2 linked regions of the Arabidopsis thaliana genome follow. The protein of the gene in region 2 interacts with the protein of the main gene of each other region in a biochemical or structural test. Each region holds a gene or a part of one and is shown on either strand. Other genes may lie near its edges.

Region 1 (5,641 bases), on a different chromosome or scaffold from region 2:
GAATCTTCAACGCATGCAAATCGAAACCCAATCTCCACTATATAATAAAGAAATCGATTCACACAAAAAAACCTCAACAAGTCGAACAATCACCCCAATTTTGCATCATTTTAACCGAGAGAGAGAGATCATTCATACACTTTGGATTCAACACGAAATCACACCAAATCGATACGAAATCAAGTAAGGTAAAATCACAGATTACAAAAAAAGAGAATCAATCGATGTACCCTGTATGGATCCATGATGCTTGAAGACAATTTTGATCCGAATTTTTCTTCTTTTGCGATTTTTAGGTGAGACTGTGTGTATCTCGCAAATCGGCGTGTGTCTGCACTGTTGTCGATTTTTTTTTTATAGCGAGAGCCAAAATATCTTATTTTAGCTCAACACCAAAACACGTATGTGTTTTGTCTTTGTTAATCCTTATCCAAATGATAATCCTCGTATTAATAGTCAAACTAATTACGTGTGGATGATATCGTCTTTGATTTCGCCAGATACTATACCATAATTAGACAATTGTTGATCCATTTCAGGATTCTCCTTAAAATAATACATGTTCAATTACGGTATCTTCTCTTTTTTTTCCTGAATTAATAATATGTATAACGACCACCATAAATCTTAGAAATTGTTTACTGCTTCAAGAAACATTGATTTATTGTAAAAAGAGATTACAAAGACAGTGAGAGTAGAAAGGAAGGAAACATGAGTTTTTGGGATTACAAGCATTATTATTATATAGACAAGAAACAACAACACATGTGATTATCTTTTTGACGGATTTAACGACCAAGCGATGATAGATCGATGAGATTGATTGTACCTCACATAGACTGAGCTTATATGGAGATTGGCCTCTAGATGCTTGGCCTCACGTTCAGACGGCTTGCAAGTTTCTGTCCCAAGGATCGATCAGCCTGAGAGATACAGAGAGATAAATAATGTTTTAGTTTGCTGAAACTTGGTAAAAAGGACGTAGAAATTTGACCGAGTGTTTTTTTGTTCTGACCTGAGACCAGTAAGAGATCCAGATGCCGCGGATCTCGTGGGTGAGACGTGGCTCCGATAGAATCTCCACCCATCTCTTAACAAACCTGTCTTGCCTGTCTGGTGCCCATGATCTGTACCTGTCTCCAGCCTGTTTGAAGTTGTTCTCTTTCTTGATGACGCACTGCAACATTAGCAATTAAAAGGTTTTCTTAGCACCAATATTCTAATAAACTTGAGTTTAGGATTTGAAGATTTAGAGAAGGCATGGCAGGAATCGGACCTTTGTTCGAATTCCAGTGTAGGAGTTTGTAGGGGTGGGAACTTTCTCAGCGCAGCGGACAGGATCAAACTTTGAGGGGTAGTAATTGATCTGTAAAAAGTACAAACCAAATGAGAATTTTGATTCCAAGTAAAAAGACTAACAATGGTAGCTCAAGTGGTGTACTAAGACGTACCTCCTCATCTCTGTGCATGAAGTTCATAAAACCTTCATGGTGATTGTTGTGGTGAGCACATTTGGGAGCATTGACTGGAAGCTGCAAATAATTCGGTCCAAGGCGATGTCTCTGAGTGTCACCATAAGCAAAGATCCTACACTGGAGCAGCTTGTCGTCTGAGTAGTAGATTCCAGGAACCACAAGACCCGGGTTGAACGCAAGCTGCTCAGTTTCATTGAAGAAATTGTCAATGGTCCTGTTCAGAACCAAGCGACCAACCGGTTGCAGAGGCAAAATATCCTCAGGCCAGATCTTGGTCACATCAAGTGGGTCAAAGTCAAACTTATCCTCATCTGCAGGATCCATGGTCTGGATGAAAAGTTTCCACTCGGGGTAGTTGCCAGATGCAATGGCATCGTGGAGATCCTTAGTGGCGTGGCTGTGATTGGCTCCTCCAACAACCTTGGCCTCTTCATCAGTCAGATTCTTGATCCCACAAGTTGGTTTCCAGTGGAACTTCACAAAGAGAACTTTTCCAGATTTGGCAATAAGAGTGTAGGTGTGGACACCGAAACCCTCCATGTGCCTGTAATCTTGTGGAATACCAACATCATCAAACATCCAGCACCATGTGAGCAAACTCTCAGGCAAGTGGGACATGTAGTCCAGAATCCTCCAGTACTCTTGGATGTTTGTTTTCGGGTTAGGTTTCAACGCGTGGACAACATCCGGGAACTGAATCCCATCACGGATGAAGAACACCGGAGTGTTGTTCCCAACAAGATCAAAGTTTCCCTGATCATAACAGTAACAAGACAAAAATCAGTCCTGATTCTAAAGAAGCTAAAAGACGATTAAAAATGGAAACTTTGAATCTTTTCTTATACCTCTCTGGTGTAAAACTTGACAGCAAAACCACGAATATCCCTCATGGTTTCAGGACTGGCACGTTCGTGGACAACGGTGGAGAAACGGACAATAACCGGAGTTTGAACACCAGGGGCTCTGAGAAAATCAGCACAAGTGAGGTTTGAAATGTCATGGGTGACTTCAAAGAAACCCTTAGCACTGATTCCTCTAGCATGAACCACTCTCTCAGGGATCCTCTCTCTGGTGAAATTAGCAACCTTCTCGATCAAATGATAATCCTCAAGAAGAACCGGACCTGCCCATTACGAAGTAACACATGTTAAAAATAATCACATCACGCTTCACGAACAAGATCTCAGCTTAGACTCTATATCTCAGTTTTATCTCTTTCATAAATCCAACAAGTTCCGATTCTTATTGATAGACTCTTGAAATTCAGGGTTACGATACCTCTTTCTCCGATGGTGAGGGAAGAGATGTTGTTGGAGACTGGAGCACCACCGTTTGTGGTGTAGAATGGGGCGTTGTACGCGCTTGAAGGACGATACTGCAATCACCATTATACGATCGATTATCAACAAAATCCAGGAAGAAATTTGGTCAACAATCAAACGGAATCGACAAGAACAATCCACAAAATTTTACTACCAACTGATTGATTTGATAAAAAGCCCTAATTTTTTGTCGTAACCCGAAACATATCAAAACCCGTTTCCTGATCGGATCCGGGTGGTCCATCCCGACACGAGTAGTCTTCCGACCATTATTTGCCAAAAAGGCTTTAGATTTGATGACGCAAACAGTAACATGTCGGAGAGTAGGGTTGTAGATAAATTTCATTTTATCCACTAATATTTATTCGATTATTACACTTTTAAGTGACTTCCGTATATTCAAGCCTTTTGTTCGATGGATCTACATAATAATTTTTTATTTTTTTTTCGTCGGTGAGATAATTTTTTTGTATGTGAAAAAAAAATACACTTGTATTGATAGATCGACCGACAATGGTTTGATTAACCGAATGTTGTAAAAAAAGATTTATCATATGTATAGATCTAACTGATCGGTTATTTAATTTGATTAATCAAACGTGTAGATTTGATTACTCAGGTGTTTAGTAGATCTGATCAATCATTTTGTTGATGATTACTTAATCTGATTTGGCTGATATCACTAAAATAATATACGGTCGGACGTCTAAACAATCGATTATATCATTTGAACGTCCGATTTTTAGAACACATGTGTGTAATAATAATAAAAAAAAAAACAACAACAAAATAACTTCTAATCTAAGGAAAAAAACAACAAAAACCACATGTGGCGTGTCTTTCTCACGCAGTGGTTAAACGTTTTAATTAAAGATAGCCAGCCAAAACAGAAATCAACATCATCAACTTAGGTTCAAGCGATCACAGAATTTAAGTAAGTTTTTGAGCATAAAAAGTATTTTGACCCTTAAGATTTAAGAACATCAATCCAATTAAAAAATAGTTTAGAAAACGAGCATATATAGTTGAACCTAATTCTAATTAAGATACACATACACCACACAAAAACAAAGAAAAAGTAAGAAGAATATGATCGAAGATACCTTGTAAGGATCCATGGTGATGATAGAAGGTTGATGATCCCCCAAATAGGCTTTTGAGGATTTTGGTTTAGTGAGAGTGTTGAGATCCTATGTGAAAGTATATATAGTGAAACAGCGTGTGTTATGCACAATAATGGATTCCCGAAGTGGAAGGGTACATTTGTCCTTTCGAGATCAATTTCTCGATACAGTAAAAATGGGCCATTGTTGTTTACTTTTCCTTGGTGTTAAAACAATAATGTAGTGCCCCCACTTAGATATTTTTTTGCTAGGTTTTGGCTCCAACCCAAGAAAAATTCGTTCGGTGACTAATAATAATCGCTGACCCCGACAAGTCAGCATTGCTCGTTGTTGTGCTGTGCTTCTCAAGAGATAAAAAAAAGATACAATATCTTTTGAAAATCAATTATTGTGCTGATAACAAAAGAAAAATAAATCATAAAGTCTAAAAACAAAACTCTAATGGATGCTCCAAAAAAAGAAATGATCTAAAAAATAATTCTAGAAATGATTTTTCTCTTAAAACTTCCATTCACTTTCCAAGTTGTTTATTTCCGTATTTGGATCTTATTACTAATATGAGTTCATCTATAGTAAAGTCTGCTGATATACATGTTCGATCTTATCGCATAGAAACTCGTGTCAGACACGAGGTGGAACTGTAGATCTGAGGTTTCTTTGTTTTAAATTTTTGTCTTCAAAAGTATATAGTTTCGGAAAATTAATCAACATGTGTTACAACAAAGGTGTCTGTATTTGCAATTACAAAAATGCGTGAAACATGAAAATAACTAATACCGTCGAAAGGATATAAACAGTATTGGAGTAGTTGAACAAAAGTAATTAATACTACTATTCAAAATAAAATAAGTTAGTTAACTTAACTGGGTGATATTATTTTAGTCTTATCCGATTTGAGCTTGCGTACGGCTTTTAAATAAATCAATATGCAGAAAAGTATTTAATGAATTATTAATAGATGATCATGAATCTATAAATTATGGGTTGAAAATTTAAATACATTCTTTATAAAAATACAAAAAGAGAGAGCTGAATTGACATTATTGAGTGGGTATGGTGGGGAGTCGATGTTGTGGAGCATATGACGATAATTAACACGTTACTTCGATGATGAACTGATCCACAATTTTTGATTGAGGGTAACTTGGGGTCCCTTTAGTGTCAACAAGTTGCTCTTGTTACTTAGTTTGATATTATTATTTACAACTAGAGCTAGGTACAACAATCAACAGTAACATACTATTCTCAGAAAGTGGCAATCATTAGAAGACAATCTTCATCTATCTCCGTTTAACAGAATTCATTTCGCATTCTTTTATATATTTCTTTAAAGGACATATTGCGCAGTTGCCCCCCTCCATAAACATTGTAGTAGCTCTGTTACGAAAACAACAATCCAATAAGCTATAAGAGATAAAAGTGGAGTAGGGAGATACTCTCGTAGTTATAAATTTACTTGTTTATAATTTAGACATTTAGAGTTATTAGGACTTTTAATCCTCTCCAGTATGCCGCATATATATTAAGTGCAATGACTAAAATAACTCAAATGCAGTTTTTTGTGTGTGTGTTATTTTGTATCCACATGGACCACATCACGTGGAGCACATATGACATAACCAAATGTGGTGTTACTATCACTGGTAAAACGTGTTGTTTCAAAGTTATTGGCTCCATTTTTGATGATAGATAATTTCAAATCACAGAATATATCTTCGTG
Region 2 (6,046 bases):
GCGTGTCGTTCACCACTCCGAGATTGTTAACATTCTACGTGAGCTTTACCCAAATCTCCCACTACCTGAAAGGTAAAACATGAACTAAATATATTACACCGGTTGTTTTGTTCATGTCCTGTGTCAATAACTTTTGCCTCATACGCAGGTGTGTGGACGAGAATCCCTACGTGCCAACGTATCAAGTGTCCAAGGATAAAACGAGGAGCCTTGGCATAGACTACATACCCTTGAAGGTTAGCATCAAGGAGACCGTCGAGTCCTTGAAGGAAAAAGGTTTCGCACAGTTCTGAGAAAGCATTTGAGCCAATGGATTTAATCCAGATTAGATAAAGTATTTGGAAGACTATTTCAGAAATAATATTTGGAACATGTCAATGTTCTCAAGGAGATATTAGTATGTTCTTGTGTACTTTATTGTTGTTCCATCAAATGAGTTACTTTTCCTTTTATTTCTTGTTAGTAAGATATCAAATAAGAATTCGAGTCAAGTGAGCATCTTTACACTGATGAATCTACAAATGATCAAACAATGATTAATGAATATCTTCTGACCCATGGTGACATGGTCGGGAAAGAAGTAAACAAAACTAAAGGGACTTTTACACTATTGTTTGCCAACAAATAGTATTAAGGATCCAGACAACATGAAAATAAAGAGTCAGAAAATTTAAGAACATCTGCTTCATATCGTACATGGCTGGCTATTCAAGTAACTAAAACATTTGAAACCCTGATCTACAATTATTGAGGAAAAAAAAAGATAAACAATTTTCAAAGAATACTGTTTTTTCCTTTTTCTTTTTACTTCTTTAAGAGATACAGAAACAAAGAACCTTTCTTAATTTTCGCCTTCTAATTGCAATGAACCTTCTCTCATTAACTTGAGGCTCAAACTGTTGAATCTTTCCCGGGAATACTGCCTCGACGCTTTCCTCCAATCTGTTCCAGCTTTCATCATCGCCGCAAACTCTTCATAGCTTATTCGTCCGTCCTAATCACCAAGACGATAAAAAAAATCAAGAGAAGACTTGTAAACTGCTATGTATTTCCAAACCAATTTTGCCATCAAGTTGCCTGTTCAAGACTTGAGAACTAAGGATGCACAATTCTGAGATATACTGATAAGATCAAACACATAATCTCATCTATTCTCAATGAACCAGGTTACACATAATCTCAATCACGCATTAAAATGCTGATATGGCATGTGCACTTGGTGAACTCCTATCATATTCCCACATATAGCCTTCCGAGGAGAAAGATTCAGACAAACATACCCAAGTCTTATGCTACTACACTGAATCATTTGTGTCCCCATATTATCGTCACATAACATTATTGAGTGAAGACGCATTTGCAGTGAAAAGTGTCTATTTCTAATCTCATATTTTGTGGTTACCTTGTCTGTGTCAACATCTTGCATAATAGCTGCAACAACTTCTTCACTGTTAGTATCCACCTCATCATTTAAAGCCTCACGCAGCTCCTCAATCTCTATGTAATCGCTCTGATTCTGGTCAAAAAAGCTAAAAGCCTTATGCAAGTGTTCGTCGTTCGCCATTTTCTTAAGATGCACAGAGACAGCCACAAACTCCCCATAATTTAAAGTCCCATCCCCATCAACATCAGCCTGCACACCAGATAAAAAAAAAAGGCTTTCAAATATCTGTTGGAACACAAACTCCAAAGTTTTAAGTTTTTTCTTACAGCTTCCATCAGAATCTGTAGATCAGTATCAGGTATCTGCTGCTGTCCGAGTTTATGAAGTCCAAATTTAAGCTCCTCGAGGTTTATCTTTCCCGTCTTTTTACTGTCCATCATCTCAAATGCTTCCTTGATGCCAGCTACTTCCTCCACTGATAAGTGTTCGGCTATCACCTGAAAGGAAGTGAAAAAAGAAGTTTCGCATTATTTCTTCAAATCCAACAGAAATAAGGTCATGAAGCAGCTGCAATGCTAGACAGAATACCCGTAGCGCTCTTTTCTTGAGCTTGTTCATAACAGAAAACTGTTTGAGTCTTGCTTTCACCGTCTCGCCGAGTGAAACATTTGGAGCCTTCTTCGCATTTTGTATCCAAGAATGTTCTGCAGATAGAAGTGTCATGATATATATGTTCCATAAGTAACAGATTTTAGAAACACACTAGGAAACATACCGAGTACTTGTGCAGCAGAAAGCCGTTTTTTGGGGTCAGGTTCGAGCATCTTCCTCACAAGGTCTTTGGCAGTCTCAGAAACTCTCGGCCATGGATCCCTCTTAAAGTCGATAACTGACCTAATGATCGCCTGAGCCACCCCTTGCTCAGTCTCTTTACAAAAATAAACAACATCAAGAAAAGAAACTCAAAAAGTGGACGAAGATAAGCAATTAAAAAAATCGAAAGAGGTCACTAGTGAATCCATGAACATGTAATTTGATAACATCATCCTAAATCATTCACAGAGGAAACTAGTGGTTCTGCAGTAAATCTTTCTAATCATCTATGGAAACTAAAATCAACCAGCTGCATATCCGTACAAAACATCCACTGTTGAAGAACAAAAAATGGATTAAGACAATAAGATGGATCATAACAAACCGGCCCAAAATGGTGGGACACCACAGAGCAGGATATAAAGGATAACTCCAGCACTCCAGATATCAACCTCAGGTCCGTAATTTCGCCTAAGTACCTCTGGTGCCATGTAATAAGGACTTCCAACAATCTCGTTGAATCCCTCACCTGTTACAAATTCAAAATATATCAAGTGGCGTAGACAGAACAAAATTATCTGTTGACCTGAGATATATAATGGACATTATAAAATCTATACCAGGCTTGAAGAAGACTGATAATCCAAAATCTATGGCTTTAAGGGCTGATGTCTCTTTTTTATTTGCAAAGAGAAAGTTCTCAGGCTTTAGATCCCGATGCATCACTCCATGCTTATGGCATATCTGCAATACCAAAAGGTGTTCAAATCATAAAGGTAAAAGTTGGGATAACAACTTTAACTAGCATTACACTGTAAGTGAAAGCCACTGCATAAAGACAAACAAGGAACCTTGCAATAGAATTAGAGGCAAGAAAGACCAGCTAGAAAGTTGACAAAACGAGAGTGCAAATGAAAAACGAAAAACTACAAACCTGAACAACTTCAAGAATAGTCTTCATCACTGCAGCAGCAGCTCGCTCAGTATAATGACCTCTAGCAACAATCCGATCAAACAGCTCACCTCCTTCACACAACTCCATAACTATATGCACTGCATCATCATCCTCAAAGGCATCCTTCAGCGACACGATATTTGGGTGTCTAGGCATATGTTTCATTATCTCAACTTCCCTCCTAACATCCTCTATATCCACAGCTGTTCTAAGCTTCTTCTTTGATATAGACTTGCACGCATACTTCTCGCCCGTTTTGATATCAGTGCACAAGTAAGTAATACCAAACTCTCCGCGACCAACCTCACGCCCCAGATCATACATAAGAGATATATCATGTCCTGTTGGATCTTTCAAAACAGAGAGCTTGAACCCAGTTCCAGATCCATTCGTAGTGTATGCTTCACTATAAAACGGGTTACTTTTGATCTTTGGTTTCCCCTTCTTACTCCCAGTCTCCGAACCCGGGCTCGCACAACAATTTCCCATTTATAATTCGAATCTGAGAAGTCCTGAGATTTCATCAAACAACTAAATCACTCACAAACGCAAACATGTCATTTTTTCCAAATCAAGAAAGCTTAAAACTTTATCAATTCATCTCCAAATTTTTCCAATTTAAGGAATTAAAGACTCTCACTAATCCCTAAAACTTACAGCAAGACAAATTCGATTTGATAAAAGGGCAAAACAAACGATCGAGAACAAAAAATGCAACGAAATTAAGAACCCTAGAAATTGAAGAGCTGATAAGTAAACCCTAGCAAATGAAATCAGGTGAAACCCAAAAAGGATGAAGCTTTAATTAGAAAGGGGAAACACAAACCTGAGACCTTAACCGGAGAAAGAGATGATCAGATTGGGATGAATCGACGGAAGCAAAGAGGGGAAATAAGTGACAGAGAGAAAGGAGAAGAAGCAGAAGAGTCAAAAAGTCTCCTTCTCCCTCGCTTCTTCTTTCTTAGTGTGGTGAGAGCAAAGAGAGACTCTTTTTTTTTGGTTTTTGGGTTCTCTCTATTGTGGAGTCAGGTGATAACCCAATTTGTAAAAGACAGTCACACGGTCACAATCAGACTCACCACCACTCTCTCTCTCTTTTATTGTTCCTTCCTCACAAATACTAACTTTCTCAAAATAAAATATATTTTTTTTTGGTTTCTTATTGAACAAGAACATGTGTTATTAAAAGTTTAAAACACAATAATGTGTCATGGATTGGCTTTTGTGTTTTGTCGCATCTCTAAGGATTTTGATATAATAAAAAAAAAGATTAGTCTTTTCATAATCCACCATTCATACACATGTTATATAGGTTACGTTAAGATAGATATCTCTAGTACAAACCAATAATTAGTGAGGCATTTGATCTATATGGATTGATAATATGATTAAGATAGATAGATATGTCTAGTAGAAACCAATAACCTTGTGATTTACTGGTTTATATGTATTTCAAATTTTATCTTGTAGTAGTCTTACTATATATATAAGAAAGAAAGAAAAATAAAAAATTAAGAGAAATTTTGAAAAATGCCACTTTTACAGGTGATCACTTGATCTTGTTCTCATGTTTATGGACAATAACATTTAGACGGTATTTGAAATCAATCATAAGTAGCTTTGGCCGTGACAGTAAATCAATGCTTATAAAATATATTTGTTATCAATATTCAAAACTCCAAAGTAAACAGTACTAATAATTAGAACCAGTCAACATATGCATTCAAAAAAGAAAAGAACTAATCGGTCAACTCAACCATATGTTCCACGTTTATCAAATTCATAAATAAAAACTACTACTACTATTTAACTATAAATATTTTTCCAAACAACACAAAATAATAGCAATAGGACGTATACTAATAGAGTAATAGGTGGGAGCAATTGTTAGATTGTTACCAATCAAACGAGCCGTGACCAAAACTATAGCGCGGAAAGACAAAACTATTTAACGAAAACGATATTGCCATTTGCGTTTGTTAATAATCACTACTTACCAGTGCTTTTTACCGAACAGTACCGAGCCGTGACTAAAAATCAAGCATTTCAATATCGAGTATACTCGATTCCGATTTTGGTCATCCGTATATAATAACTCTTGATTTCCAAACTCGACACAGCCATCGAAAATGGCATCTGGGTTTTGCTCACTGGCTCTAACTGTCACCACCTCCTTATTCTCGTCCCACGCGATTACACGGCGCGTTCTACCCATTCTACGGTGGCGTTCCAGTTCTATGTCCCTTTCTCCGCTGCGTCATTCCCGCGCTTTATCAGCTGCAACAACTGTTCCGATAAGCTCATCCTTCACGTGGGACGACGTAATCGAGACCGGTCGGGCAGAGTACAACTCTTCCGATCTCACCGGATTTTTCGAGAAAATCAACCGCTGCAATCGCGGATCCGTAAGTCCTACTAAATCGAATGGTTTTAGGGTATCGGTTCCTAGGAGAGTGAGATTGACCAAGGAAAGCTGAAATTCAATAAAAATGTTAGCTTTTCCTCTTTTCTGTTTATAAAGTTCAAAACTTTTCTGCTATACGTTTTTCAGGAAAAGTTAGGTGAGTTCATTCCATTTGTTATAGAGGAACAAATCGTTGGTTATATTCATAAAAGGTAACTGTTCTTGCTTCTGTGATTCTAAACTTGAGGTTGTACAAATTAGACTTCTCTTTTATGCATTCATTCACAAACTAGTTTTAGCAGAATCTTGGATTTTGATGCTTGTTTGTCTACATTGAATAGATTTACGGAGTACTTGAGGGAGTTTCATGATATCTTTACATTTTCACAAAATGGTTCTTGTCCTGACCGTGTTGATGGCTATGTAACGCTTAATCTGATGCTTCAAAAGCCTGAAGATAGAACCAGAGCAGTTGCAGATGTGATCAAAA

Evidence for each region. Proteins that work in one complex are often made in the same cells at the same time.
Region 1: of the proteins of CDPK19 (region 2) and CAT3, one has a biochemical effect on the other in vitro, tested with the Arabidopsis thaliana proteins (one study listed by BioGRID).

The regions. Positions count from the first base shown.
Region 1 is NC_003070.9:7,141,416-7,147,056, reverse strand, and holds CAT3 (catalase 3), read right to left. Parts: upstream 3,925-5,641; 5' UTR 3,916-3,924; coding exon of another isoform or gene 3,901-3,915; 5' UTR 3,144-3,900; coding exon 2,952-3,143; exon of another isoform or gene 2,851-2,951; coding exon 2,754-2,850; exon of another isoform or gene 2,599-2,753; coding exon 2,321-2,598; intron 2,229-2,320; coding exon 1,452-2,228; coding exon of another isoform or gene 1,367-1,451; coding exon 1,277-1,366; coding exon of another isoform or gene 1,250-1,276; exon of another isoform or gene 1,178-1,249; coding exon 1,016-1,177; intron 924-1,015; coding exon 864-923; 3' UTR 517-863; downstream 1-516. Other genes in the region: CAT1 (catalase 1), read right to left, coding at 231-245. UniProt on the Arabidopsis thaliana protein: Occurs in almost all aerobically respiring organisms and serves to protect cells from the toxic effects of hydrogen peroxide.
Region 2 is NC_003076.8:6,557,831-6,563,876, forward strand, and holds CDPK19 (calcium-dependent protein kinase 19), read right to left. Parts: upstream 4,228-6,046; 5' UTR 3,979-4,227; intron 3,971-3,978; exon of another isoform or gene 3,665-3,970; 5' UTR 3,642-3,664; coding exon 3,132-3,641; intron 2,942-3,131; coding exon 2,818-2,941; intron 2,727-2,817; coding exon 2,583-2,726; intron 2,313-2,582; coding exon 2,160-2,312; intron 2,089-2,159; coding exon 1,973-2,088; intron 1,882-1,972; coding exon 1,711-1,881; intron 1,634-1,710; coding exon 1,403-1,633; intron 995-1,402; coding exon 842-994; 3' UTR 501-841; downstream 1-500. Other genes in the region: AT5G19440 (NAD(P)-binding Rossmann-fold superfamily protein), read left to right, coding at 1-72, 149-293; NUDT20 (nudix hydrolase homolog 20), read left to right, coding at 5,282-5,557, 5,704-5,768, 5,898-6,046. UniProt on the Arabidopsis thaliana protein: May play a role in signal transduction pathways that involve calcium as a second messenger.